4 linked regions of the Notamacropus eugenii genome follow. The protein of the gene in region 1 interacts with the protein of each later gene in a pairwise test. Links are inferred from orthologs where the notes say so. Each region holds a gene or a part of one and is shown in the gene's direction. Other genes may lie near its edges.

Region 1 (7,489 bases):
ACCCTGAAGGACTTTCATGTGAATTCTAACCAGCCTGACTGATGACTGTCTTTCTGGGATTACAATTTCAGGAAAGCCCACCCAGGCTGCCTGAATGGGGACTCAGCTAGCTAGGTAACTCAGCTCCTCCTCTTCTGTCTGTCTCCCCTTCCCCTTCCTTCTCCTCTCCAAAGGAAGATATATTTGTTTTACTGGCTTGATTCCTTTATTTTTCCTCTCCTCTCCCCTCCTCTCTCCTCTCCTCTTCTCTCCTTTCCTTTCCCAAAACCTTAAACCTACTGCACTCTGAAGCTCATCCATTGGACAACACTAGGCACCTGTCTAAGGGCTCTCCTCTGGACCCTCCTGGGTCAGAGTGTTGCTGTTTCCCTCCCAGTCTGATATCTTCATTTTTCTTTGCCTCATTAAAGGGGCCAACCCCTGGCTACCTCTTAAACAGACTTATTCAATGAATGGGCATTACCTCACCCTAGGTGAGTACCTGAATAGACCTTGGATTCAGATGATTCTGGAGGAGAAGTGAAGCTGATGACCTTGCACAGCCCTCCCTCACTCAAAACAAAGTTAAGTGCAGTCATGTCACCATTTCTCTAATGGCATGGTCTTCTTTGGCAACAAAGGACAAACACAACAACCTTGTTCCTGGATGGGATCAGTCCAATCTTCTCTCCTATGATCCCATTCAACATACAGTAATCCCTTGTCACCACTCTGCTAAGCTGTTTTCCCCCATTGTAATATAAGCTTCTGTATTTGTATCCTCAGCCGTTAGTACAGTACTTAGCACATAATAAGCACTTAGTCAAATTTTAAAAAATTCATTCATTTAGTTATTAATCAGTGCTAACATTAATTGAAAATTTCCCATGGAGACCAGACAGAGCCTTATGACCAATTATCCCTGAAAAGGCTTCAGTAAGCAAAAATCTGACAGTTTTGGAGAGTTTAGTTGAATTGGCATTGTATATAACTGCATTGAAAATTTATAGGATGATAGGATTCAGGAACTTAGAAATAATCTAATCAACCAACAGCATTTATTAGGTACCTACTGTGTGGAAGAATTGTGTTAGATACTGGGGATACAAGGAGAGCAGGGGAACAAACAGTCCCTGCCTTCCAGTAGATCTGGAAAGGTAAGTGAGAATCTCGTGGTAAGGACCTTAAATGCCACAGGTTAGATTTGTTTCTAGAGGTCAGAGGGAGCTATTGAAGTTTCTTGAATAGGCTAGTGAGACGGTCAGTTGGGACTTTTGTTGTCAGTCATTTTGATCATGTCTTACTCTTCATGACCCTATTTGGGGTTTTCTTGGCAAAAATACTGGAGAGATTTTTGTCATCTCCTTCTGGGTAACTGAAAGGATGGTGGTAATCTAGCTAGAAAGAAGGAGGTTTGGAAAAGGGGTGGATTTGGGAGGGAAAATAATGAATTGTGTTGTAGACATATTGAGTTTGAGATGCTTATAGGATACCCAACTAGAAATATCTCATAGGCAATTTGTAATGTATAGTTAGAGCAAATATTTCTTTTTTATAGTTAGAGAAAAGGAAGACCAGAGAAAGAAACTAATAAATCCAAGTCACCCAGGAAATAGCTTAATTAAATCCAGTAAATATTCATTAAATGCCTACAATGCATAAGGCATTGTGCTACGTGGTTGGACATTTTAAAAAAGAAAAAAAACCTGACATTCCCTCTTCTAATAGATCTTACAATCTAATGAGCGTAGGAAAGCTTTAGCACTCTCTCCAAAGGCATAGTAAATATATTGATTGAGAAAAAGTTTCTCTTGATTGTAATTTCCAAGATGAAATTTTAGGGTCCCTGGTTCCTCAAGGGACTTGCAGGGCTTGAGTGGTAATGATGCATAGGATGGTTGGAGTAGGGGATAAGTCAGCAGTTAATTAAGGTGCCAAGTCTGTATGCTAGGAGTCATTAAGACTAGAAAGATCGAATGCCATGACATAAATCAGGGGGTGAGGGGTGGGCATCTAGATTGTCAACAGATGTTAAATTACTTCTTATCTTTATTATAATCTTAGTAAACATCAAATGGAATGGACATTTAAATTGCACTAAGATTTTTGAGATACCTTTTAGAACAGAAAAAGAAGATTGTACCTGAAACTACAGGATACAGCTGACTTTTCTTTTAAAGTCTATAATAAGATCAACCTGTAGCTTTTAAGGCTTGTCCTGCTTGCTTGGTTTACCTTCTTTTCTTTCCACTATTAAAATTAAAAAAAATTTTTTTTCCTTTCTCTCCTCCTTTCTATCCATATCTCCATCTTCATCCTTTCATCCCCATACCCCCACTGGAATAAAATAATGAATCCCTTGTAACAATATGCCTAGTCCAGTGGGAAAAATGCCCACATTGGCTAGTGTCTGAAAATGTACGGCCCATTCCTCATCTTGTGACTCAGCAGAAATTAGAAGAAAAAATCCATCTCCTCTACAATTCCATTGACCAAGCATTTACCTAGGAAATGCTTATTATGCTCAAAGCTTTGTGCTTGTTGCTAGGACTGCAAAGACAAAAATCTCTGTCATCAGTTTGGAAAGAGCATTAACACCTAGTGGGAATCAGTGAAGTCTTTTATAGAAAGGGGCACTTGGGCTGGAGAGTAAAGACAAGCTCATTATTTCAACTGTGAAATTTCTTTTTTTTCATTTTATTTTTTAAATTTTATTTATTTTTAATGCTCTACAATCACTACCATAAAACTTAGATTTTTCCCCCTACTTACTCCCCATTATCCCCCTCCCTCCCCAAGACAGCATACAATTCTATATAGGATCTACACATACATTCGTATTAAATACATTTTCATTATAGTCATGCTGTGTAGAAGAACTAAAATAAATGGGAGAAATCATCTAACAAACCAAAACATAATACATACACACACACACACACACACACACACACACACACACACACAAATGATCTGCTACTTTCTGCAATTGAATTCCATAGTTCTTTCTCTGAACGTGGAAGGTATTTTGCCTTAGAAGACCACTGGGATTTTTTTTTTTTTAATGTCCTTGCATTGCTATGAAGATCCAAGTCTACCAGAAAAAACTCTCGCACACTGTGGTCGTTGCTGTGCACAAAGTTCTCCTGGTTCTGCTCCTTTCGCTCAGCATCAGATCATATTGAAATTTCTCCCAATTGACCTATGTTGAAGGGCAATACAAGACTTGTACACTGACAGTTCTTCAAACACTTGGAGAAGATGGCAGAGTGTGTTGGTTGGCATAGAGCAGATGAAATAGCATGAAATCTGTTAAATATCAATCATTTAACACTTATCCAGGGCTTGCACAGCTCTCCCTCACTCAGATCCAAGTCAACTGGAAGTCATATCATCATCTTGATAACATGGTCCTCTTTGAGAACAAAGCACCTATGTACCAGGCACTGTGCTAAATGTCGGAGACACAAAAATAGGCAAAAGACATACCCTGTCCACAAGAAGGTTACAATCTAATGAGAGAGATGACATCCAAATTTATATACAAAACTAGTGGTACCTACACTGTAAAACAAGCCAGTAGAGGACTGTTTACTAGGGTCTCTTAAAAAGGTATAAAATTAAAACCTTAAAACCTTTTCAGAAAAGTAAAGTGGTTACAGAGAAGAATTTTGAGGGGAAAAAAGTGGTTTTGTAAAAAGTATGCCTTTGAAAAGTATAGAGTGTACATGTGTGTTTTTGTGGCCAAGATTGTAATAAACCTTTAAAAAAAAATGGAGGTCATCCCATCTATATAATGTTGGAATGACTTCTAAAATCCCTGTGTCTTAGTTTCCTCCTCTGTTAATTTAGGAGGTTGGTCCTTGATTTCTCTGGCCCCAAATGCTGACATCCCTGACTGGTTATTAATTCCAAAGAGGTGCAGCCTTCCAGACAAATTCACCAATTAGAGAGATCTCCATCAAGGGACCCAGGTCATCTGATCATCTGCCTGCCTGCTTCCAGACAAGGCCTCCAAAGGTCTAAATACAGGGTAAAGGAAGGACAGAGGGAAATACTGAAAATCACTTTGGAGGCATCTAATAACTAAATTAACTTAACTACAAGTCCCAGCATTCCATGCAGTGGGAAAACGGGCCAGGATGAGCAGACTACAAATCCCAGCATGCTCTCTAACATAATGACACAGATGGACTACAAGTCCCAGGATGCACCTTATGCCGAGAGCCATGCATCCTGGGATTTGTAGTATTGCCCTGGTGGTTCTTTCGGGGTGGGGGTTGGGAGTGGGAAACGACAGCAGTAAACAAAGCCAAAAGCCAATAAATCAAATTATTTCATCAGTCCATTTAAATGACACTCTCCGCCCTTTTCTACAGTCGGCTGAAGAAGCTGAGAGCACACGCTTGCGTGGGTCCTGGAAAATCAAAACGGGACGAGCCTGGGAAGAGGTGCGCATGCGCTCTGACTGAAGTAGTGACTAAAGGGAGCGGGATCAGGTTAAGGTGAAAGCGCGCGCACGAAGATAAGGGACGAGGCCGGCGCTCGCGCGTCGTTTCCTATTCCCTCTCCTGGCGGGTGGGGGTAACGCGTCTGCGCAGGTTTGGGAGGACGATCGCCGCGGGGGAAGGAATCGCGGCGCCTGCGCATTGCAGCAGCTCCTCTCGCGAGGACGGACGCCATTATCGCATCTCCCCGACAAACACCACGAGAATTCCGCAGCCCACACGGTAATTGCAGCTCCCGCAGCCGGTCGCGTCTCCACCTCCCCCCCCTTCCCGCGGGGCGAGAGCGAGAGCGAGATCTCCCCCTCCCCCGCCTCTCCCCTGCTCTCCTCTCCGGGCCTGGCCGGGCCCAGCTCCAGCTCCCACCGCCCGGCCCGGCGTCCGCCTCAGCCCCGGTGCGTCTGGGTCCGGGCCTCGCTGCGCCCCCCCGGACCGGAGCCGCCGCCGCCGCCGCCGGGAGCGGGAGCGTAGGCCCGGCCAGGCCCGCCAGGCCCTGCTGCCAACGGCGGCCTCGCTCGGGCCGCTCGCTTCCTGGGGATGGCGAATACCGGGGCGGGGGTGGGGGAGGCGGCGGCGGCGGCCGCTTCCTGGGCGGTCAGCCCAGGATTCGGGCCCGGCGGCGGCCCCAGGGACCGGGAGTCCCGCCCAGCCCCCTCCTCGACAGACGAGGAAACTGAGACCCGGGCAGGGAGGCGGCCTCCCCTTTGGGCTCAAGGGATCGAGACCCTTTTGGGGGAGCCTCCGCCTCTTTTACAGATGAGGAAACTGAGGCCCGAAGGGGAGGAGGCTTCCCTAGCATGGCTTGTGAAGTGAAAAAGGGCCCTTAGAAATGAGCTGGTCCAGTACCCCTACTTTACAGGCGGGGAAACTGAGGCCTCGAGAGGGGAAAGTGAAGTGACCCGAAGCCGTGCAGCTAGGAAACCCTAGGCCGTGCCTGAGATCGGGAGTCATTTGGGAAACGGAATATTCCCCGCCTCCTCCCCCCTGAAATGACTGGAGAAGATTGTTTAGTGAATTATTCATGACCCTCTCCCTACCTCCCCCCCTTCTTTCCCAAACATACAGATAACTGCGTTTCTCTTCCAGCTCACCTGATGCTCTGTGTATTGTAAACAGTCCACGTGTCTGTGACCCACTTTTGTACATTTTCAAAGCCCTCAGTTTCTTCAGTTGGGCTTTGCAAACAAAACCTTTATGCTTAAAAAAAAAAAAAAGAAAATTAGCTGTTTGCCTTTGCTTTTTTTCCCCCCACCACTGACTTTGCAGAGTTTGTATTAGAAAAGGAATTTGGATAAATTATAAAAGCATCGGGATTTATATAATTAAATACCTGAAAGTCAAATTACTATCGATTGATTCTGTGATTATTGAGCTTCTCTACTATATTTATACTGTTGGTCAGTATTCTGTCAGATAATACTTTTTTTTGTGAGTTTCGGTTTCTAAGGCAGTTCAAATTTAAATAATTTTGATGAGATTGGGGAATATTTAATGTTATTTGAACAGAGCTGTAAAGGCACTTTCCAGTTTCTGAACTATTATTCTACAGCATATTTGGAGAAGGGATAACTCACTTTAATACTGTGGTGCCTAACAAGACTGATTGTAATTAGACAGTGTGTTAAAAGGTGTGAATATCAGATGGCTAGGTTTTTCCTTTCATGCTCAGTTTTCACATTTTAGATTGGTGTATTGTAAAGTCTTAGCTCAGTAGTCTCATTGGAGGATTACATTCTATGGTTGTATGAAGAGTATACTAGAAGTTATGTTGGTGGAATTTTTTAGAATTGGAACAATATTAAATCTAAAGTATAAAGAAACTTGTGAAACTTTGTTCCCTAAATAAGATACATGGATCTTTGAGTTACTGATTGTTTATGTTTAGTCTGTTTCAGAAAAGAAATCAAGATGTAACCTACTTTGAATTTTGGAAAGACAATCATAGAATTTTAGAAATGGAAGGATCTGTAGAGAGCCTCAAAACAGTTCCTTCAGTGATTTTAATAGCTGACTTTTTGCCTCACCTCATTATTTTTGGGTATACTGATTTGGCTCTTTTGAATCTTAGCCTTGATTTTTGCTTTGGTCAGGTTTAAATTTTTTTTTTCACTTTTGGTAAACTGGGGCAAAATTCAGACAAATATACACCCACAACATGATTATTCTTGAGATGTATTTTAATACTCATACTTTAAGTATAATTTTTTTAGTTTGGTACTCCTTCCATAAATGTGGATTGCAGTTTCTCTCCATGTTCGTTTTCAGTCGTTGCTAAGGAATTAATCAATGCTACCAGCTTGTTGAGGTCTCTGGGTTTTGGCTTGCAGTGTAACAGCATCTTAACTGGGTCCATCCTTAGAACCTTTGCATTCTGGTAGCACTTGCCAGAGCTGACCCTTTATGGGGGTGGAGGAGTGTTGAGAACCCCTGGCCACATCAAACTTTGATTATGTCTCAGCTGGTCCCTCATGGATGTGTTCTTAACATAAGAACTTTTAGTTTGTGAAGAGGAGGGGAACATTTTCACCTGGGAGGGAAAAAAAAATTCCTGAAAGAGAGGGGAAGGTGGTGGGTAGGTGGAGGGAGTGGGCATTTGTTAAGTGCTTACCACATGTTGGACACTTTATAAAAATCATCTCATTTGATAATTATGCTGCCAAGGTGTGAGATGTGAGGGGAAGTACTGCCCAGTGAAAAGAGCTTTGACTGGAGGAATCCAGAGGTGGGACTCTGGCAGTCTAATTTGTCTTGAGTGACTTGGAATGGTAACTTAGTCTTTAATTTTCAGTACCCTTCTCATCTGAAAACGTGTGGGGCTTAGACTAGGCCTCTAAGGATAGTTGTAGTTCCTAAATTCTGATTATTTGTTTACAATAATAGAAATATTTGTGGGATTGTGGTGGGTTAGGTTTGCACTCCATGGCTGTGAAAATTTTTTTCTTCTAGGTGAGAAGTCATCTGAATGGCTTTGGCCCAATTATGACTCATGGCTGAACTTTGACTCT
Region 2 (7,288 bases), on another chromosome or scaffold:
TTCCATAGAGAGAATCAAAAGTAACCCAGAAAAAGGAGAATTCAAACCTTGGTATAGAAATCTATCAAATACAGTGTCTAGTGTGAGGGCCACATTCCCAGGGAACCCACTAATTCTGGAGCTCACAAGTCTATCCCTATTGTATCGTACTATAACCTTTCCTCAAATATTGCCCTAACCCTCATCCTCCACTCCAACCCTCTACTCCCAAATCTAGATCACTTGATCATCACTTTTTCCATTTTATAAATCTGATAATACTAATCTTTACTGTATCTTTGTCCTGGTTTAAAGAAGCCAAGAATCACTGGGCAACTTAGACTCCATTTCAATTAAATTCTTGATCTCACCAATTAAGATCCTGACCAGAGTGCTTACTGTACCAAGAAGATTAAACAGCCAAGGAAACATTCCATCTTTTGTTTTGACAATTCAGGTAGGCCTAAAATAATTGTGAGTAAGTGCATGATATAGAAGTTAGAAGATCAGCCTTGGAGTTAGGAAGGCCTAGATGAAATCCCAACTCTTCTACATCTGTGACGATGGGCAAACCACTTATCCTCTCAGCATCCCCAGACAACTAGGTGTCAAAGAAGGGTGCTGGATCTGGAGTCAGGAAGACTAGAGTTCAAATTCTAGCCTTAGACACTTACTGACTGTGTGACCTTGGGCAAGCCACTTAATCTCTGTCTGCCCATTTCCTCAAATGTAAAATGACAATTATTAGATCCCCTACCTCCCAGGGTTGTTGAGAGGATGAAATAAAATAATATTTGTAAAGCATTTAGCACAGGGCTTGGCAAATAGTAGGCTCTTAAAAAATGTTTACTCTCTTTCTCTCCTTCCCAGGCAATTTTCTAAGGCTGTAAGTTAGAGATGGGCTGTGGACCAGCATCAGAGAAGAGTGTTTCCTGTCACACTGATGAAGTCAAGTTTAAAAAAAAAAGTGTGATGATTCCACATCATTAGACTTCTAAACTGAAGTGAGATGTCACCTCTGTGACATTTTCCTTTATCTCATTTTATGTGATTTTTCTTTTTTTTTTTTTGCATTTCATCTTCCATTTTTAATTGAAGTAGGACTACGAACTGCTTTGATTATTTACTGTAGTTTATATGTCTCCAGAAGTTATTTGCAATATTTGTTTAGTGGACTGAATCTTTTTTTTTTAATTAAACTAGAACAAAGAACTCCCCTAGTAGTATTACTTGGATGTTTTATGGGACCTTGAATGCCATGCCAATGGAACATAAGTTCTCAAACACGAAAAAGTTCCATGTGGTGCCCTAGTGAAAGAAATGGTACAAAAGACATTATCAAGGACATGTATGATGGGCAAAGGAAACCTACCACTCATGGAACAAGTGATATAACACATGCACAGACTAAGTATTACATTTTAATACACAGACGAGTAAAGGAGACAGAGAAAGATCTTTAGCAAGGGGGATAGATAACCCATGAATGATTCATGGAAGAATATAGACAGTAACACAGGATGAGACAGCAGGGATAGGCTGCAATTTGTACCATTGAAGGGGAGTACCTTCAATAATGAGGTCAAAGATTCATTTAAATATCAGAATTAAGCAATCAGCAAACACTAATCAAGGGCCTTTTATATGCATGGAATGGTGCTGAAACCTAAGGATAAAAAGACAAAAATGAAACATCCCAAAATACGGATTACGGGATAGGATGAATTTGCCTAGATCAGGAGTGGGGAACCTTCAGTCTCCGGCCACATGTGGCCCTTTAGGTCCTCAAGTGCAGTCCTTGGATTGAATCCAAACTTCTCAGGACAAATCCCCTTAATAAAAGGATTTGTTATGTAAAACTTGGACTTAGTCAGAAGGCCACATCCAAGGACCTAGAGGGTCACACATGGCTTCAAGGCCAAAGGTTCCTCACCCCTGGCTTAGACTGACGTGATATGGACATTGTTTATGCTTTCCTACTCTCCTGGTATGGCATAATTAAAACTTGTTTGTCTTTTATAGTGCAATACAAACCTCATAGTGTTAAAATTGCTGAAATTTAAGGAGTTGAGAAAAATGATGTCATTGTGTAGGTTTCATAAATTGTATACTTTTTAAAAATTACATTTCTTGATTGTTATAAGGCCTTACAAACATTCCTCTTAATTATTGCTTTCAAACTTTTTTGTTTTTAACTAATGTTTCATTAAGTGATATAGGCTCTTTTCTTAACTAAAATATTTAAAATATTTTACTTGAATTAGTTTGTATGACTGGCTGATTTCATTTCACATCCTAAATATTGACTTAATTCCCTTCATCTTCTTTACTTTTAATCATGTTTTCATTTCTTAGCATTACATTTTAATGCAGTGACTTTACATTTGATTTTTTCAGCATGGAATGTACAGCACAAACTATTTTATGGGTATGGGGATTTGTTTGAAGTGGGAGTCTTTATATTTTGAAAAATGAATGGCATTTGGTGTACTGAGTTGGAACACCAAATTGTTAGGCAAACCAATTCAAACACTGTTTATTCAGTAGTGCCAGTTATTAGAAAGGCACGGTGCTCATTACTGGGAATACAGAAACGAAACAGTCACTGCTCTCAAGAACCTTACAGCATTGCAGTGGAGATCCACCATGTGCAGAAATAAATGTAATACAAAGTTGAGTGTGATGGGGGCAAGGAAGCCAGCTGGACAGTAGTCTAAGAAAGACGAAGATGTTAAAAACATGGTATGAAGAAGACTATTTTCTCTTGCATTTTGTTTTGTTTTGGTTTTTCTCATGGTTTCTCCCATTCATTTTAATTCTTCTATGTAACTTAACTAATGGGAAAATGTGTTTAATAAGAATGTAAATGTAGAACCCATATAAGATTGCAAGCCATCTTGGGAGGGAGGAAGAGAAATTTAAGACTTATGGAAGTGATCATTGAAAACTGAAAACAAATAAATTAATTAAAAAAACACTATAAAGTAGAAGCAGGGTGGCATCTGAGTTTTGTCTTAGTCAATCAATTCATCAGCAAGCATTTATGAAGCACCACTTGGTTTGGGTTAGGCACCTTTGCTAAGGATCTCTCCTGTTCAAAGGAACAGGAGTATTGGAATGAGTAGTGAACCAGAAGAGATTGCCTTCTAGGTATGGATGATCGCTTTACAAATGGGAAGAGATGGGGAAGAGTTTAGGTCATCCAGCTTAGCTTGAACAATGTCTGAAAGGGAATCACATAAAATAAGGCTGAAAAGATAAACTGTAATCAGACTATGAAGGTGTATAAATGTTGTAATAATTAAAGTTGTACCCTTCAAGAAGTCCCTGAAGATTTTGGAACATGACATAATCAAACATGTTTCAGTCATGAGGATGATAACAGTAGCATTTTTATAACACTTTAAGGTTTGCAAAATGTATTATTCCAACTGTTGTGATATCATTGTGATACAGGAGAGCAATGGATTGGGATTTTCTTGTTTAGACAGCTAAGTTTCTGTGGGTAAAACATTTCACCTCTTCTGGCCTCAGTCTGCAAAAGATCTCTTTACAGCTATAACATTTTATGATTGAGAAGTCCACAGTTACGTTCACAGTATGGAGTTACGGTGGGAGGTGGTTGTGGTTGACAATTTTTCCTGAATCTGGGCTGAAGTAACAAAAGGGACTCGTTTACAAAATGACCACTAACCTTTTGTTTTTTTTTTCTCATTCCCTTTGAATTTGCAATTGCCATACTTATTATGGAGTTAAAAGAACTAGAAAGGGAAACCCAGAAGTCATTTCGTTCAGTTTGTCATGCTATCCACTGGACTTAAATTGCAGCTACTGTGCTAATGATTGTTTTGCATAAATTAAATAGCTCATATATAGGCATCAACGTCTTCATTTGCATGTAGACTAAGCCAGAATGTGGCAATGCCCCATCGCACGTATTGGTATCCATGCATCTCAACTATTCATTTGTGTAATACACGTAAAGGCTGCTATCTCTCCGGACTCTTGAGTACACAAGCACACATAAGCGCCCTACCTTTTTTTTTTCTCCTTTACAAATCGAAACAGGCTGGACAAGTTCATGTGATGCAAATGACGTCAGCCTCCATTGGGTCCCGTGATAGACAGACAACCTTCCCTACTCTACCCCACCCCTCCCCTCTGCCACAAAAACAGACTGATCTCGCGAGAAACCTGCGCTCCCAGCGCCTAGACCTTCCCGGGAGGACAGGGAGAGAAAGGGAAAGGTGCGGCTGAGCGCGGGGTGGCGCGTGAAGTCTTTGTTCACACCTCCGTTTGCAACCCGGGGCCTTTGATGCACGCTCCATTCCCAGGCTTCGCTGTGGGAAGCAGTGGAGGAGGTGCAGGCGTGGTGTCCGCACCTGCACCTTTAAGAGCGGCCGGGGGAGCCTGGAAACGGGGGTCCCCTGGGCTAGCTGAAGAGGGAGAACCCCTTCCTGGCTGGGGCGTGGGAGCCAGCCCGGCTCCGCATCCCGGCCGCTTCTGCATCCGGCCTTGGGCTGGCTCCGAGCTGGAAGCCGGGATGCCAAGGCTCCCCACCGGGTGGGCACCCAAGCACTAGGGTACACAGAGGAGCCGGGTCGTTGGCCCCTGCCCCCGGGGAGATCCCGCCGGGACATGGCTCCTGCTATAGTCCGACTCTGAGGGCGCACGGGAAATCGTGCGGAGCAGCGCGGGGGAGGGGGGCTCGTACCGCTCTGCGCCCCCGGGGAGCTTGGTGCAGGGGGGCTGTGCAGGGCCTCCCCGCGCGGCCGGCGATTCATTCCACCCCCGCCTGGGAGGGTTAAAGGGCTAGCTGGCCGGTTTGGCCAGTTGGCTTTGCCTGGCCGGCCGCTCCCGGGGTGTGGAGACCCTTTCCCTTACTACAAGGCGTATCTGCCTGTCTGTGGGTCTGTCTCTTCAGACCTGTTTGCAGAGACCCTGTTCCTGCGTACCCCTCCTCCTCCTCCTCCCCAGACCATTTCAAACTGTGTGTGTGATCCCGTCTTTTCTAATCTTTTTGCACTCTCTGCCTGGGTATACCCCTCCTTCCCAGCGCGCGCGCGCGCGCACACACACACATACACACACATTGCGTGCTGAGAGGGTTGTGTCGCTAGAGGGAGGTGTGGGACAGAGAAAAGGGGGGCATAGAAGAGGGGGTGGCCCCGCAGTAGCTTGAGGAGGGGCTGGGGGACAGCAGAGACGCTGAGGCTGAACTGTGCTCGCCCTGCTACTGCCCACCCCGGGTGCCCAGCGCGCTCGGTGCCGTGCCTCCTCTCCATTCCCAGAGAGCTGCATAGGTACCCCAGCTGGCCGTCGGCTGTCACCGGCGGGGCGGGGAAGGGGAGGGGAAGCCGGCCAGAGGAGCCGAGCTTCCCATTGCTCTGGCGCTCCTTCGCGCACACCCACCCACCCACCCACCCACTGGAGTGGAGAGACTGAGGCTGCTGACAGCTGCAACTGGACTGGAGTTGTCTCCGTCGGGCTTCTCTTCCTTCCCCTGCCCCCTCCCCACTCCACTCCACCCCCTCTCCACCCTTCCACTCCCTCCCCTCCGCCTTTACTCCTTGTCCCCAGTTCATATCGTTTCGCAACTGCTCGCCTCCTGCCCCGTGGCTGGCTGAGTTTTTTCTCTCTCCACCCCCCACCCCCAATTCCTGGCACCTTTTCTATAATACTTTCCCCCCTCCTCCAATTGGGGAGTGGGGGTGGCAGAGAGGGAGGGTGGAGCGTCCAGAGCCGGAGAAGAAAAAGAAGGAAGCGGGAGCAGAAGGATTGTACGATTGTGGAGAGGGGACCCTACGGCACTCTTTCTTTCCCATTGCACCCTTCCTACCTTCCCTCCCCCCCAAGTCCAGATCCAGCCACTTTTTTGGACGAGAAAAGTGAAGGAAGACGGCTCGGGGGTGATAGCGACACAGGGGCCGGTCCCAGGCAAGCAGCAGCACCTCCCGTCCCGTCTCATCCTCCTCCCTCTTCGACAGGAGCCAGCTCGGACCTATGATGGCCTCAACTACAACCTGCACCAGGTTCACCGACGAGTATCAGCTTTTCGAGGAGCTTGGAAAGTAAGCGTCCTTGCCTGGCGTCTGCGGGTCCCCTTTCCTGCAGAGGGCGAGTCGCGTTACCCCCGACCCAGCAGTCCTTTACCGTTAGGGGGTCGTGGGAGTTTAGAAAAGGGGAGGGGGGAGGGGGAAAAGGCTAGCTTGACAGTTGGGCAAAAGGTACTGATCCTTAGGGTGAGGGCGGGGGAGTAGAAAGGGAAGACCACCAGGCTGTGTCCAAGGCTGATAATCCCACCCACCCTCCTTCCCCACTCCCATTTTGCAAGAGAGCCTTCGTGAATTTATGATCCTTGCAGTTGGAGCTGTCATCCTCTGGAGTGTGTATATATGCTTGTGAAAGGCAGGAAATGAGAACCCATGTAAAATGCAACATAGATCATGTTTTCTGTAAATAGAGATGCCTCCAGGGTTTACCGGCGTGTCTGCTCAGTGATACACGTACGGATGAGAACCTCACTGACACAGACGGTGCCATATTTATTGATGCCGAAAGTTCAAGTTGGCGTTCAGTCTGTTTTGTATCCAGTAGTTCTGTCAAAGAAGACAGCAGCCCAGTGTGACATATATATCTATATATCAAGCACCTACATCTTCAGCTACTGTAGGGAGGGGAAAAACTTTCTGGAATTTTTGTCACACCATTCTTCCCAGGATATAGACAGTCTCCCCTAAGAGGATTAATTTAAATGTGCATGGAGGAAAAAACCTCTCTGGAAAGGGAAGAGTCCTGTTTTGTGTATGTGTGTGTGTTAAAGATTATATATAGATACACACATACACATAGTGACAAAAATACTTGCCAGTTTTAAAGAACAGGGAGAAAGATATAAACAAGGAAACTCATTATAAAGAAATCTAACCTAGAGGCTCAGCCACAGTGTTACAGCATCACCCCCAAATGAAATCTGTTCTCATTCATATCTACAGCTTGATCTATTACTTGGAGAAGGGGTGTGTGCATATGTCTGTTGGTGGCTGATGAAGGCAAATAAAAGGAAATGTAAATTTCATTGTGTAAGTGTATTTATTCTGTATGATACTCTTACACTGAGTGGTACTGCATGCACACACACATCTATATACACACGTACATACACATAAAAGGTCAGAAGAGGCAGTTTAATTAAAAGCCTTTTTTTTAACCAAGGCATAAAGAAATCATCGTGCCAGAATTCATTAACTCACACAAATATGCTCAATATTTATATTTCTCTGAGAACAATTATCATATTTATAGAGTT
Region 3 (7,463 bases), about 330 Mb from region 1:
AAGTTCAAATCTGGCCTCACACATTAGCTGTATGACCCTGGGCAAGTCACTTAACCCTGTTTGCTTCAGATTCCTCTTCTGTAAAATGAGCAGGAGAAGGAAATGGCAAACCACTGGAGCATCTCTGCCAAGAAAACCCCCAAAAAGGAGTCACAGAAAGTCAGACACAACTGAAAAAAAAATGATGAAATAAAAAAAGAATTAAGAAACCTCTTGATGAGGATGAAAGAGATGAGTGTAAAAACTGACTTGATATCAAAAAAACTAAGATCTTCACAACTGGTTTCACTACTTCCTGACAAATAGAGGTAGAAGAAATGGAAGCAGAGTCAGATTTTTTATTCATATATATATATATATATATGTATATATATATGTATGTATGTATGTATTCAGATAGATAGATAGATAGATAGATAGATAGATAGGTAGATAGACAGGTAGATAGATATAGATGACAGCATACTAAAAAGCAGAGACATTACCTTATGTTGTTGACAAAGGTCAGTAGTGTTAAGGCTATGGTTTTTCCAGTAGCACTGTATGGCAGTGAGAGTTGGATTGTAAGGAAAGTTGAATGATGCAAAATTTATGCTTTCCAATTATAGTTCTGGAGAAGACTTTTGAGAGTCTTTTAGACATCAAGGACATCAAATCGGTCAATACTTAAAGAAATTAATTGAGACAATTCACTGGAAGTTCAAATGTTGAAGTTTAAATACTTTGGCCATGTAATGAGAAGACAGGATCCATTGCAAAAGACCCTGATGGTGGGAAAGCTTGAAGATAGAAGGAAAAGGGGACAGCAAAGGATGAGATGGATAGATAGTGTCATAGAAGCAACAAACATGAACCCTGACAGACTTCGAAAAACAGTTGAGAATAGAATGGCCTGGCATGCTATATAGTCCATGGGATCATGAAGAGTGATGAAAATAACCAATGTTTATTGATTGATTGACTACATGACTTGAGGCCCCTTCTAAGCTCTGAGGTTCTTTGATTCTAAGATTCTGTCATTGTATGATCATCATGGACTTAAGTGATGATAGCTGAGTACCTATTGGCTGCTCAGAGCTGTGGGGAGGGAAGTTGAAGTATTAGAAAGCAACTATCAATGAAAGACCAATCAAGGAATGAACATAAAGTTTGGTCTGATTTAAAAAAAATTTGCTAAAATTCAGATTGGACTATAACTTTTCAGGAACTTGACTGTTACATAAAGTGAGGTATATTTGCAAATATAAACAGCAGGTACAAGTGTTTTATATATATGTATATATGTATATATACATATACATATATATTTAAGTATACTACATATAGCCAACGATATCTTTACAAACACAACTGCTGACAACAGGCTACATGTATAGTGGAGGGAAAAAAGAAGTAGGAGCCTAGAGTCTGGAGAAGTTCACTTTGTGGGGTTTTATTTGTTGGTTTGTTTATATTCTTTAGATATTCATCTGAACTGCTGCCAAATAAGCATTTAAGAAGACTGGGGAAATCCTGATTTAATACTATCCTCCTGCCTCTGAAGATAAAGGAGCAGCTACCAACAGAACTCCCTCCCAAGGTTTCAGTCAGGATTAGTCATCCCCAAAGTATGCCAGATGGTCACCTATATGGTATATTATAGGGACCGTTGGGAAGACCCACTGCTTCTCCTGAATGATGTTCACTGCTCTGGCAGTGATGTCTGCAGTTCCACCAATGGCAATTAATTCCTTTGAGTACAGTATTGCTTTCACCAGGTTTCTTCTTTTAAAATGCAAAGAATTCCAGCACTGGCAATATTAAGTTCCTTATCAATAAGGGGTATTAATATTGCTAATGATGATAATTAATAAGCATCTTATGAATTATTTTATCTTTTGAGTTCTTCAGTGAAAGCATAAAAACATAATCTTGTACAGGAAAAGTACTGCTAAAAATGACAAGGATGGAACAGAGGGAGATGAGGAAGAAGAGAAGCGAGAAGTCTCACATTTTGCATATAAATAGTATAATACAAAGGTTTGCATATGTATGTGAAAATGTGTATCTATACATATGTTTCTGCTTAGCACAGTGTCTGGTATACTGTTGTTGTAATTCAGTTGGGTCGGACTCTTTGTGACCCCATTTGAGGTTTTCTTGGCAAAGATACTGGAGTGGTTTGCCATTTCCTTCTTCAGCTCCCCACTTGCCCAGGGTCACACAGCTAGTAAGTGTCTGAGGTCACATTTAAACTTGAGGAGTCTTCATGACTTCAGGGCCAGCACTCTACCCACTCAGCCACTCAGCCTGGCACAAAGTAGCTACTTAATAAATGTTTACTGACTATATGTCCTGTCTCTGACTAATATGACCCTGGATAAGTCACTTGAATAACCAGGTCACTTTGTAAGACCATAAACTATAAAGAAGGTGTTGATCAACAACAGTAGAGCAAATTCTTCACCCAAAAGAGGAAGTTCTCCTGCTCCAATAAAAAAGATAAATGCTTGCATATGAAAAGTAATGTGGCACAGGAGATAGAGCCTTGGAGCCAGGAAGACATGGCAAGTCTTGACTGTGGTACATTCTAGCTCTGTGATTCAGGGACAAATCATTTAACCTGTCAATGCCTTCAGACAACTCTCTAAGACTATAAGAGGGAGTTTTCACACAGGGACCTTCCTTGCCCTAATGAAATCACTGGTCTGGTCCTACCTCCTCCCCCAAGAATGAGTTACATTTTCCATTAAAACAGAAAACAATGTTCACATGCATCTTTCAAAAAATTTGTTTGGATAAGGAAGCTGCCAGATAGATCGGGAGTTGGGGAGAAGGAACAGGTTATAAATTTATGGAGTAAGGAACAGAGTAGAAGGGAGGTAAAAGCCAGTAACTTCACGTGGCTTTCCAAAGGACAACAAGCCAAGGCCAGCAATTATTTGGAAAAGGTGATAAGGGCAAAGCAGGAGCTTAAAAAGGAGATATATGTATAAAAACGCTATAGGAATCTATAAAATTGAACAGAAAAATATCTCTCAAAATTGGTTAGCTATGAAGTAAAGTGGTTAAGACAGCTAGGTGTGTGTGTTCGTTCTTCATTGCCGAAGAAGACCATGCCATCAGAGAAACGATGACATGACTTGCACTTGACTTTGTTTTGAGTGAGGGAGGGCTGTGCAGGTCACCAACCTCACTTCTCCTCCAGAGCCATCTGAATCAAGTGACCAGATGTTCATCAGGATTACTGGAAATGACCCAAGATGAGGCAGTGACACTGCCTTGAGGCAGTGAGTTAAGTGACTTTTCCAAGGTCACACAGTTAGTGAGTGTCAAGTGTGAGAGGTGAGATTTGAACTCAGGTCCTCCTGATTCCTGCACTGGTTCTCTATCCACTGCACCCCCAGGTAGCACTGCGGATAAAGCATTGGGCTTAGAATCAGGAAACTTTGTTTTCATGAGCTCAAATTCAGCCTCAGACACTTAATAGCGGTGTGATCCTATGCAAGTCACTTAACCTTGTTTGCCTCTATTTCCTCATCTGTAAAATGAGCTGGAGAAGGAAATGCAACCACTGTAGTGTCTTTGCCCAGAAAATCCCCAAATAGGATTACAGAGAGTTGGACACAACTAAACAACAACAAAAAGTGGTTAACCAAAAAAAAAAAAAAAAAAAAAGTTATGCTCAGAAATATTCAGGTTCTACTCCATATCTACAATACATTTTCTTTTGGGTGGATATTTTTCAGAACAACATTGGGCAAAGTTTGAAAAACTAAAATAACCACTCCACCCTAGTCCATTGTCTATTCCCATGTATTTATCTTAATGTACTTTTTAAACAATGGAAGAATTATAATGTTATATTGTGAGAGCGTGTAATATGGGAAAAGCACTGAGCTGGAAGTAAAGACAATTTGGATCTAGTTCCAGTTGTCATTAACTACGGACCGTGAACTAGTCACTTCACCTCTCTTGGGTCTTTCATCTGGATATGAAAGTATCAGGCAAGCTGACCTGGAAGATCTCTTCCAGCTGGCGCAATTATATGATGGGTCAAATCCTGGACGTGCATTTATGTTATTACAAATAGGGATTAGGGGAGGGTGGGGGTCATTCTGAGGAAACCTTCAGGAGGGTTCAAGGTTTCAAATGAAGGGAATGATGTTGACTTTGATCATGACAGAGACATGTTTCAACTTCTTAGACTAGCGAGTGGAAAAGGTGAACGTGCAAACCATACACGTGCTTTGTGCCGGGGGTTCGCTGTTATTGACGCCCTCCTAATCTTGTTCCCCAATCTCGCCTTTTCCCAGAAATAAGCAGGGCGGCAAAAAAACAATGGGCTGCGCCGCAGGGAGTGTGCTTCCTCCTCCCGAAACCTGCCGAGCGTCTGCAGCCCGGCGGCGAAAGCGTTAACAGAGCTGGATGAGTAAGCCGAGCCATCCAAATGAGTAACATACATAGTTGTTAAAGTTTTCAAGGCGGCTGCAGCTCGGAGAGAAGACACGAGACACTGGGGCTGAGCTTCTTCGGCAAAGGTCAGCGGCGTGAGGTTAGTGCAGGCTCCGGCTGGAGCTGACTGCGTACGGGAGCGAGCCAGAGCCTGGCATCTTTGAGGGAAGCAGGGGAGCGGGGGAGCAGTGGGAGTGCCCAGAGCCAACTCTGCATTTAAGGTCTCTCTGGCTGCTAGGGGGCTGACCGCCACCCTTTCTTCGCCTCCTTCCCAAGAATTACTCAGTAGGCACCAGCGCTGAAGCCTGGCTTAGTCTGCGTGACAAGCGTCGGACTTCTCAGAGAGACTTAGCCCTAGCGAGTTGGGGAGGGCCATTACGCCCATCAGGAGCAAGGACGGGATTTCTGAGGCTTGGGATTTTGACTTTCAAGACACACACACACACACACACACACACACACACACACACACACTCACACACGAAATCACACCTGTGAACTCTGGACTCGGCTTGCTTTTTGCAAGTTGTGGCCAACAGTCCAGAATTCCTTTCTGTTTCAGTTAAAACAAGTGTTGTCAAAGTAGCTAAACAGGCTCAGTTACTTCCCGTTGTGGGAGGAATATTGCCTTCTGCGGTTGTCTTAGATAATCGTGCTAAGTAAGCAGAGGGAGGCTTAAAGTGACCAGTTTGCAGTGTGGGGTAAAACTGTAATTGAAGCAGGTTGCTAGGTGAAAGGTTTCCCATGCATTGCTAAGAAATCTCATTCAAGAAACGTATTTAACGTATTTAAAAGATGCTAACCTTACAACTGCATACTATATTGCTTTGTAATTAACTTTTGGGGGGCGGGGGAGACGATCCGAAGGGCAGAATCGTGAGGGACTCCGGATGTGGAAACAGCCTTTACTGGCAATTCCTCAGTAATTTAGTTTTACAAGAGGCCTTTCCTGATCCCTCAGTTAATAACGCACTTCTCTCCAAATTATTTTGTACTTATTTGCATGCTTCCCCTACCCTACCCCAATAGAATGCCATGTGTCCATGGGCACAAAGTGAGTTTGTATCCAAGGCAGGACTGCCTGACTAAGATTGGCCCACTATCTGCTAAAGCAAGCTGCCTCTTATTATCAAACACATGCCTAGAAAAATGAGGAAAGAAGGTCATAGATCTATATCCTCCAAGAGGTTTTGATTCTGCTGTGAGTTAAAAGTTTTCAGAACTGAGACGGAGGCAGGTTTGTACTTCCCAACCCACCTCTAGCTTCCATCTACAGGTAGGAATTAGCATAGACACTTCAATATGAATTATTCACCTTGGATTTTGGCTTTCCCTCTAAAACTCCGGTTACTTGTCACCCAACTGAAAGCCCCCCTCAGATTCTTGCTGCAGGCTTGAGAGGCAATGCTGTACCTGCTATTACTAAATCACGACTCACTTGAAACTTAGATGCCGGGAACAAAGTACACGCTTGCAAATTGCCTTATGAGGCACTGCTTCACATTGTAGGTGGGATACATTTCAAAGCAGTCACATTTTTTGTCCTCTCTTTTTCTTCAGACATCGAGGTTCTCTGAAATCCAGGACCCAGCTGGTGTTCTCCTGAGGACTGATCTGACCTGCTCCCCCATCCCCCACTCTTGTCTCAGGTCACCTTACCATGTGGACTCTGTCCATTCAGGCCAGGATTGGAGTTTTAAAATAAGATGGATGATTTGGCGTTACTTGATCTTCTGGAGTGTCCCGTGTGTTTTGAAAAGCTCGATGTCACAGCCAAAGTCCTCCCCTGCCAGCACACCTTTTGTAAACCATGTCTACAGAGGATATTCAAAGCACGCAAGGAACTGAGGTGCCCAGAATGCAGAACCCTTGTCTTCTGTGGTATTGAGGAGCTCCCAGCCAACTTGCTCTTGGTGCGTCTCCTGGATGGCGTCCGATCGGGTCAGAGCATGGTGAGAATGGGCTCCATTCGAAGACCTGGCATACTGACCTCTCAGGACCCAAGCAGGAAAACCAGGACAGATCCCAGAGGTTCGCAGCCCAGTCCATACCGACTGACTCCCAATGCCCGAATCCACATGGATGGGGTAAGAAAGTATCTGTTGATATACTGTCACGTCGAAGACTGGATTGTGAAATACAAATGGCTAAGGAGTACTTGATTTTAGTTGAGTCTTCACTTCTCATAAAATTTCTGGCTTCAGTGAATTTACTTACTGTTTATTATTTTTGTGATGGACCCAAGTTCAAAACCAGCCTCAGATACTTGCTAGCTGTGGAACCTTGGACAAGTCACTTAACTTTTGTCTGTCTTTGTTTCCTCATCTGTAAAATAGGGATGACAATAGTATCTAACGCCCAGAGTTGTTGCAAAAGTAAAATGAGATAATATTTGTAAAGTATTTTACAAATCTTGCATCTCTATATAAATGCTAGCTATTATTATCCTTTTTGCTTAGCTGTGCAACTTGGTGAGATCCCAAGTATCTCCAAAACTCTACAAACAGTCTAGGAACTCTTCTTATACCTGCCCACTTCTAGAGTATTTTTATAGATTTCTGGTTTTTCCAGGTTCTTCTGCTCCAGGAAGTAATAGAGATGGATTTTTTTTAAACAATATTTTTAAAACACTTTTCACTGTTGCTCTTAAGGAACAAAACCAATAAGTGGGGAAACATGATTAAAAAAAGAAGGGGACATTTTTAAACTGCTTTGTCTTCGAGGTTCAGGAAAGTTTCCAGATTCAGTTTTAGTTAGATTTTCGCCCCAACCTATCCCTTTATTCCAATCATAATATGCAATTATGACAATGCACATTCATAATTGCTAAAAATTATCAAGAAATTAAAATCTCAAGGATGAGGCAGGAAAAATATGTGAAAATGGATTTATTGATCTACCTACCCCCACCATGCTATGCCTTGACATCTGTAAAATTGGGGTAATAATAACTCCTGCTTCACAGAGTTTAGTGGGGATGAAATGAGTTAACAGAAAGTTTGTAAACTTTAAAACACTATATAAATACT
Region 4 (7,507 bases), on another chromosome or scaffold:
CTTGAGTCTTTGAACTCTTTAGGGTATATGCCTACTCATGCTATCAATTGATTGGGGTTATTTAATTTAGTCACTTTGGGAGTACTGTTCCAAATTGCTTTCCAGAATCATTCAGTCCACTTTGTATGTCCACCAGAAGTGAATCCCTCCCACAGTCACTCCAATGACCACCATTTTTTTTCATCATTTTTGCCCATCTAATGGGTGTGAGGTACAAAGGCAGTTTGTTTTAATTTTCATACCTCTTACTATCAGTGATTGGAAACATTTTTATCTGATTGTGCATAGTTTGCATTTCTTCTTTTGAAAACTGCTTACTCATATCCTTTGATCATTTATTTTGTTGTTCAATTATTTCAGTCACATCCAACTCTTTGTGACCCCATTTGAGTTTTTCTTAGCAGACATACTGGAGTGGTTTGCCATTTCCTTCTTCAGTTCATTTTGCATATGAGGAAACTGATGCACATTGGATCAAGTGACTTGCCCAGGGTCATACAGCTAGTAAGTATCTGAGATCAGATTTGAACTCAGGAAAATGAGTCTTCCAGACTCTAGGTTCAGCTCTCTATCCACAATGCCACCTTGCTGCCCACTTATCTATTTGGGGAATAGCTTTTCTTCTTTTCTCTATTTGTATTCCTTCTTTCTAGTACTAAAATATCAGTTTGCAGACTCTTCCAAAAAATCATTGTTGCCACATTATAACAAGGAAAGAACAAAACAGCTATAAGAAACTTTAAAAAATCAATCAGAATTAACAGAAAGAACACAACAGAGAAAGAAATGTTATTTTCTAATTCTAATTTCTAATTCAACTCAGTTCAATAAGAATTTATCACCTTATGAGCCAAGTTCTGTGCTAAGAGATAAGAGTTCAATAATCCCTGCTTTCAAGAAGCATACTTTCCACCCCTGACTCAATTTGCAACTTGTTTTGTTGATTCTTAGGTCATTTTTTTCCCCTTCTTCATCTTAAGGCCAGTAGATTGGCATAGAATAGTAAAGAAAATATTGTATTGTTGCTGATTTGAGTTCAAGTCTCAACTTGGGCAAATCACTCAACTTTATTTAAGCCTTTGTTATGGAAAATTATACTTTTACTAATTACAGTGTCCAAAAGTGGAATGAACTACCCTCTCAGCTCCCCAGGCAACCTAAGACTAAGTTGCAGAACAAGGGTCAGTCTGCTTTGGTAGAAGGAATTTCCTTTTCAGGAGATCCTCACACCAATGAAACCTCAGGTTCCATTCCACCCTCCCACCCCCACCCCCAATCATGGGGTTAAGAATTTTAGTATGTTTGTGTATGGAAACTACAAAGTGCAACCATAGTTTAACTAATCAGAGTCTCACAGAACCAAAGGATCTCTGACTTAAGAGTTGATCTAAGACAAACCCACTGAGTCTCTGCTTAATCACCTCTATTTATGGGTGAGTTACTCATGTCAAAGGATGACTATTCTACTTTGGGTCAATTCTAATATGTAGGACAGTTTTCCTTACATGGGGTTGAAATCTGTCTTTTTTTTTTTTTAACTTCTACTTACTGGTCTTAGCTCTGCCCTCTGGGTCCCCAAACCTCCAAATCTTCTTCTTTTTTTATTAGATGACCTTCAAATATTGTCAATCATTCTGTACCTCTTAAGTCTTCTGGCTAAACATTGCTAGGTCCTCAAAATTTTCTATGGTATATGTAGCTGGTTAAAACTCTGCTCTGCTCCCTCACCCATACTCCAAAACATACACACACACACTCTCTCTCTCTCTCTCTCCCTCTTTTTCTCTTTCCCTCTCCCTCTTTTTCTCTTCTCTCTTAAAGGGTGAGGACTTTTAGCATAGCCTCAACCCTAATTACTTCTTTTGTCAGGCACATCACATTGCTAGCTCTTACTGAGTTTGCAGACCACTAAAACCTTGGTGTATTTTTTTCCTATTTCTTAGGCTTGGTTTTTATTTTTTTTTTCTCCCTCCTCCATATTTTGTATTTTGATCTCAAATGCAGGATGCTGTATTTGTTAGTATTAAATTTCAACTTTTACAGATTCAGAGGTGGAAGGGAACTCAGAGGCAAGTTATTCTAACTTACACTTAACCAACAATCCCCTCTGTCACAAAACCCCCACTAACTGGTCATCCTGTTCAAAACAAATGTCATCTGGTTAGTTTGGGGCATTGTCCCAGCTAGATCAGAGGCATCAATTGCTTTGTTCCTAATAGGCACTTAATAAGTGTTCTTGAATAACAACAAAATGAATCATGGTTTCTCACCACCAGATTGCTGGCAATCCAAGAGCAGGGGAGGGATCACTGCCACATAGCATTCTAATGGGCCATGCTGATGGTAGGTGGTTCTAAGTGGCCTGGAGACAGAACTCTCTGCACAGGAAAGTTTACCATTTCCTGTACACCCACCATGCTTTCAGTAATATATATAACATTCATGGGTGAGAATTCTATCACAATGATTTATTTTGGTCTTTGCATCTTCAGTACTCAGAACAGTACCTGGCACACAGTAGGTACTTAATAAATGTTTTTTGATTGTTAGTTTATTGTTTGCTTATTAAGTGTTGTTTGAATTGAATTGCATCACATTTCAAGGTAGTGTGTCATGCATATATATACACATGTGAGTCACATTAGATATATGTGAGCCTAGAGCCAAAGCCTCTTGTCAGATGAAATGGTTGGATTTGTTGGCTTCTGAGGTCCCTTCTGGCTGTGTATGATCTTATATCAATATAATATCCTTAATAAATGCATGAGTCACATAAATTAATTTGAGCCCAGAACCTTCACATCCCTCATGGAATGTACAATGTGGAGGTTGGACTAGCTGGCCTCTGACTAAACAGGGATTGATTTTTTTTCCTGGTGTACTCCTGGTGCTTGGCATAGTGTCTGGCACATAGTATGTCTTTTTAAAAAACTATTTATTTTATTCTGAACTTAAATAAAACAAACATTTCCATAACACAGTAGAATGGGGGAAAAAGGTGATTGTACATGAAACTGCAAATCTATTATGTACAACTTGTTACTCCTTTTAAATATATAATAAAGTTATCATATCACTTTCTTTTCTTTTTCTTCTGTTTGTTGACTTCATTCTTGACTGACTCAGAAACTCCTGGTGGAGGCGGTTGGTGGCACAGCGGATAGAGCACTGGACCTGGAGTCAAGAAAACTCGTGTTCAAATTGGGTCTCAGATACTTATTAGCTCTGTGACCCTGGGCAAGCCACTTAACCTTTGTCTATATCAATTTCCTTAATTGTAAAATGAGATAATAAGAGCACTTACCTCCTAAGTAAGGTTGCTGTGAGAATCAAGTGAGTTATCTGTACAGCACTTGATACATTGTAGTCATGCACTTGATACATTGTAGTCATGCACTGAATATAGCGCTGGGCTTGGAGTCTTCCGGAATTCAAATCTGCCTTTAGAAACTTAGTAGCTGTGTGACTCTGGGCAAGTCACTTAACCCAAATGTGCCTCAGTTTCCTCATCTGTAAAATGATCTGGAGAAGGAAATGGCAAATCACTCAAGTATTTTTGCCAAGAAAACCTGATAGAACAATAACAAATAAATACTTGTTTTCTTCCCTTCTTCCACTAGATCGATGACTCTGTGCACATTACTGTGTATGCTTTGCTCTTAATACGGTGCCTGGCACATAGTAGGAACTTAATAAATGTTGACTGATTGATTGATACTAGTCACGCAAACTAAATGTGAGCTTGGCCAGCTCGGTGACCTCTGGAGTCTCTTCTACTAGATCTGTGAACCTGAGATGGAGCCTTCGGGGACTCACACCCCCATATATGAATTTTTTTTAATGGCTACTTTTATTTTCTTTTTTCCCTCTCGCAATTTCCATTTTTTTTTTCTCTCATTTGGAAGTCTCGGAACAGTCACCTTGTAGTAGTTTAAGGGAGTCAGCCTTCAAGGCAAGAGCCGCTTTTAAAAACAACACAGTTTCCTCCAAGCAGTTCCTGGAAAGGCAGGGATGGGGGTGGGAAGGAATGAATCGACTTTCCCCTTCCACGCGTGTCCCCTCCGACTCCGAGAAGCCCACGCGGCAGGTCCCTTTCCAGCAGCCCCGGTCCTCCAGCTGCCCAGCGCCTTCGGGGGCTTTTTGGGACTCGAACACGCTGGTGACATTGACGAGTCTGGCCCCGAGTCAAGGCAGCTCTGCGCCGACTCGGGACTGTTCCCGGGGAAACCACCCCGGCCCCAGACACCTGCGGCCCAATGAACCTGCAGTGCCCGGGGCGCGCGCAGGGGACGCCTCTGGGCGCTAGGGGGCGCCGCGGCGCGCCGGCCCTTCGGACCGACCCGGCCGTCCTGCCTCTCCACTTTAAGGGGGAAAGGGGAGTCAGGTGCGGGCGGGGTGGGGCGGGGTGGGGAGTTGGGTCCCTCTCGCCGGCTCCGGTCCCCGCGGCGCAGGCGCAGTGTCCGGCTCCTCCGACTGCTCCCCCCAGCGCAGTGCGCCGAGCTGGGCCAGAAGCGGAGCGGCGTCGGCCGGGGCAGCTGCGGATCCGGCTTCCTCCCGTGGTCCCTGCGCCCCGGCGGGCGGGCTCGTGGCGGGGGGGAGCCTCTCCGCGGGGGTTTCGGTCAGGTGAGTGTCAGCTTCAGGGAGGACGGGGGAGGGAGCGGGGAGCGCGAGCCGCAGCACCGCCCCCTCCGCCTCCGCCCGCCCCTCGGAGCGCGGCCGGCTGCGGTGAGGAGGCGCCCGCGGAGGGGTCGGCGCGCGGAGCCGGACCTTGGAGCCCACGGGCCTTCCCCGCGTCGGGCCACGGAGCCCGGGCGCTCGCCCCGCCGCTTCCCCCAGGAGCCCTGCGGCGCCGGGCGGGCTCGGGGAGCGCCTCCCACGGGCCCCGGCCTCGCTCCGCAGGCGGCCGCGGTTACTGATTAACCCCCCGCCAGCCCAGGGCCGCCCACCATGAAGTTCGAGGGCGTCTCCGAAAAAAGGGGGGATCCCGACCTGCCCCCCGGAAACTTGGGGCGTCCCACTCGGGCGACGAGCACTGAGTTAGACCCTGCTGTATACCGGGCGCGGTGCTCGGCGCCTTCCAAACCAATCAGTCCGCATGAGTGATCGATCACCTCCGTGGCCCGCGAGGGTGGTAGCAGCACCTGTTTCTCTGGGGTGCTGGGGGAGCGTCAAGCGGCTGATTTTGGGGGGGGGGGCTGTGATTTCATTGGAATGGAACCTCCCCCACCCCGACTGTACCTGGGAGTTATAGGAAACTGGGATCTTAGCGAGTTCCCCGGAGCCATCGATCGGCGAAAGTGACTTGTCCGGATCCCCCGAGCGAAGCCTTGAACTCAGCTCCCTGCGTCCTGCCCTGGGAAATGACAGGGAAGGGTTAGGACCCCCTTGTGCACCCTTCAGCTCTGGGGCTACGATCTTGCGTGGATGGACAGACGGACAACTCCCTCTGACACTGCTTACTTATACCTATCAATTCAGAGAACTGATTAGCTTCTCGAGAGGTTGGCGATCTGTGTCCGAGGCAGTCTTGAATCGGTCACTCTAGGTCCGAGGCTTGAGCTCAGGTTTACTGGCTTTTTAAAAAAAAGATAGGAATCTTTTATGAATAGGAACCTCTTTTTCTGAGTTTAATTTTTCCTTGGAGTTTTGAGCAACTCTCCATGAAGACCAAAAGCGATAAGTACCCAGAGAATAAAAAAATATGCACAGCACATATTATAGATTTCTTATAAAGTCTATTAAGAATTCACTTTTGAAAACAAAGAGCAAGTTACACACTCGAAAACATTTCCTTCCCTTAAAGCATGAAATCTTTCTGTAGATAGACAAGCTTTCTACCCCACTACTCGGTACTGCCTGGTTTGTGTTAAAGTGCACCTTTTTGGATAAAAGAAATTATTAGCTTATGCACATAAATAAATAACCTTGATAGGGTCTCCATGTTTTTCATAAGGATTTCAGTTTATCAGTCCAGGAACTTTATTTGTGACTTGTTTTTGAGAGTTGTTGTGTTTTGTGTTCTTTGTTTTTTGGCAAGATGAAGTCACTAAGGCTTAGAGGTGCCTCTCCTGAGGTTTCAATAGTCAGATTCCTGGTGGGAATAAGAACAGGGGGGAAAAATAAAGCTTTTCTGAGTGGTGGAAGATGGGTAAAGGGGAGAACCACGGGCATAAACTTTAGCACTGGTATTTCACCCCTGAGCTGACTTGGTGTGATTTTTAAGTGGGAAATTTGTACAATGGCTTACAAGTTTTCACTTTACGTGGAGTGTGATGTATCTGAAGGTTAATGGGGATCTTTCAGTTCCTGGGAGGAAGGATTTGGAGGAAATTTAGCAGTTGTCATTTACATCTAGGCTGTCTGTATTGACTGAATCCTTTTCTGATTGTCACTTAATGCAGAATGGTGACATGATTTTTAGGGAGATAATGGGATGTCCCAAACTCCTGGGTGGCTAAATGCTTGTTTTCTCAAAGAACAGCTTTTGTTTTTCCTTTTTATTTTGTTGCTCTTTTTTATTTTAAATTTGCATTACATTTAGTTTTAATTAAAGTTTGTTTAATTTTAGTTACTTTAGATGATGGTTTATTTACAAATTCGAGGAGAAAATAGCCTGGGTTTGAAGATCAGGCAAAATAAACAATTGATGCTATTAAATAATATTACCAGTTTCATGAAGTCTTCTTGTGATAACATTTGTTATTGTACTGTGTAAGTCAGTGTTGCTTGGACAGCATTTGTTGATACATCTCAGAAATATGGTTTAGTAGTATGGTGTGATGCTAAATGCTTAGTAGAATTTATATTAATCATTGTGGTAATTGTTACTTGAGTATTTGAGTTCCTCTAGAAGAAAAATAATAACTCCTTTTTGTTCTTGCTTTTGATTATGTGACCAAAAAATGAGATATTGACATGTTTCTTTTTTGGAAAAAAACTTTCTGGTGTATATCCGTATGTATGTTTTATTACCTGAATTTTACCACTAAGGTAAAAGAAGTTTCTCATAGCTCTTATGTGATCAATAAATAATTCACATTTTAGTGCCAAATGACTCTTCACATTTTATTAGAATAAACTTAATTTGAACAGATAACTCTGCTTTTTAGAAATCTGTGAATTTCTTATTAGATTATAGCAATAATTTGTGAATCAGTGTCCTAAATTCATATGCTGCCTCTACTTTTTTATGAATCACTATTGATAGATGTGGTTTCAATGCTGAATTGATCATAGGTTTTTAAGATTTAGAGCTGGAAGAGACTTTGGAGATAGTCTAGTTCAAACCTCTTATTTTATAGTAGAAAAAAAGTGAGCCTCAGAGATAGTAGATAGATGCTCAAGGTCATGACAGGTGGTTAAAGAAAGAGAACTATAACTCACACCAGGTCTTTTGAGGATAAGCCCTGTTTTCTTTATACATCTAAACTGTTCTTCCTTTTCCCTGCAACCCTCACACACATTTTTAAAATGGCAAAGTGAATATACTTTGGGTCTGTCCTTTTCA

What was found.
Region 2: the proteins of BANP (region 1) and CAMK2D interact in binary tests that used the Homo sapiens proteins (3 or more experiments, as listed by UniProt). The two-hybrid records come from large-scale screens. The link is inferred for Notamacropus eugenii from reciprocal best matches to the Homo sapiens genes BANP and CAMK2D.
Region 3: the proteins of BANP (region 1) and SH3RF2 interact in binary tests that used the Homo sapiens proteins (3 or more experiments, as listed by UniProt). The two-hybrid records come from large-scale screens. The link is inferred for Notamacropus eugenii from reciprocal best matches to the Homo sapiens genes BANP and SH3RF2.
Region 4: the proteins of BANP (region 1) and RAB3IP interact in binary tests that used the Homo sapiens proteins (3 or more experiments, as listed by UniProt). The two-hybrid records come from large-scale screens. The link is inferred for Notamacropus eugenii from reciprocal best matches to the Homo sapiens genes BANP and RAB3IP.

The regions. Positions count from the first base shown.
Region 1 is NC_092872.1:703,794,709-703,802,197, forward strand, and holds the start of BANP (protein BANP), read left to right. Parts: upstream 1-4,482; 5' UTR 4,483-4,709; intron 4,710-7,489. UniProt on the Homo sapiens protein: Controls V(D)J recombination during T-cell development by repressing T-cell receptor (TCR) beta enhancer function. Binds to scaffold/matrix attachment region beta (S/MARbeta), an ATC-rich DNA sequence located upstream of the TCR beta enhancer.
Region 2 is NC_092878.1:115,955,699-115,962,986, forward strand, and holds the start of CAMK2D (calcium/calmodulin-dependent protein kinase type II subunit delta), read left to right. Parts: upstream 1-4,273; 5' UTR 4,274-4,294; coding exon 4,295-4,542; intron 4,543-5,966; coding exon 5,967-6,050; intron 6,051-7,288. UniProt on the Homo sapiens protein: Calcium/calmodulin-dependent protein kinase involved in the regulation of Ca(2+) homeostatis and excitation-contraction coupling (ECC) in heart by targeting ion channels, transporters and accessory proteins involved in Ca(2+) influx into the myocyte, Ca(2+) release from the sarcoplasmic reticulum (SR), SR Ca(2+) uptake and Na(+) and K(+) channel transport.
Region 3 is NC_092872.1:374,989,780-374,997,242, forward strand, and holds the start of SH3RF2 (E3 ubiquitin-protein ligase SH3RF2), read left to right. Parts: upstream 1-4,442; 5' UTR 4,443-4,534; intron 4,535-5,994; 5' UTR 5,995-6,140; coding exon 6,141-6,521; intron 6,522-7,463. UniProt on the Homo sapiens protein: Has E3 ubiquitin-protein ligase activity. Acts as an anti-apoptotic regulator of the JNK pathway by ubiquitinating and promoting the degradation of SH3RF1, a scaffold protein that is required for pro-apoptotic JNK activation.
Region 4 is NC_092874.1:247,281,445-247,288,951, forward strand, and holds the start of RAB3IP (rab-3A-interacting protein), read left to right. Parts: upstream 1-4,496; 5' UTR 4,497-4,623; intron 4,624-7,507. UniProt on the Homo sapiens protein: Guanine nucleotide exchange factor (GEF) which may activate RAB8A and RAB8B. Promotes the exchange of GDP to GTP, converting inactive GDP-bound Rab proteins into their active GTP-bound form.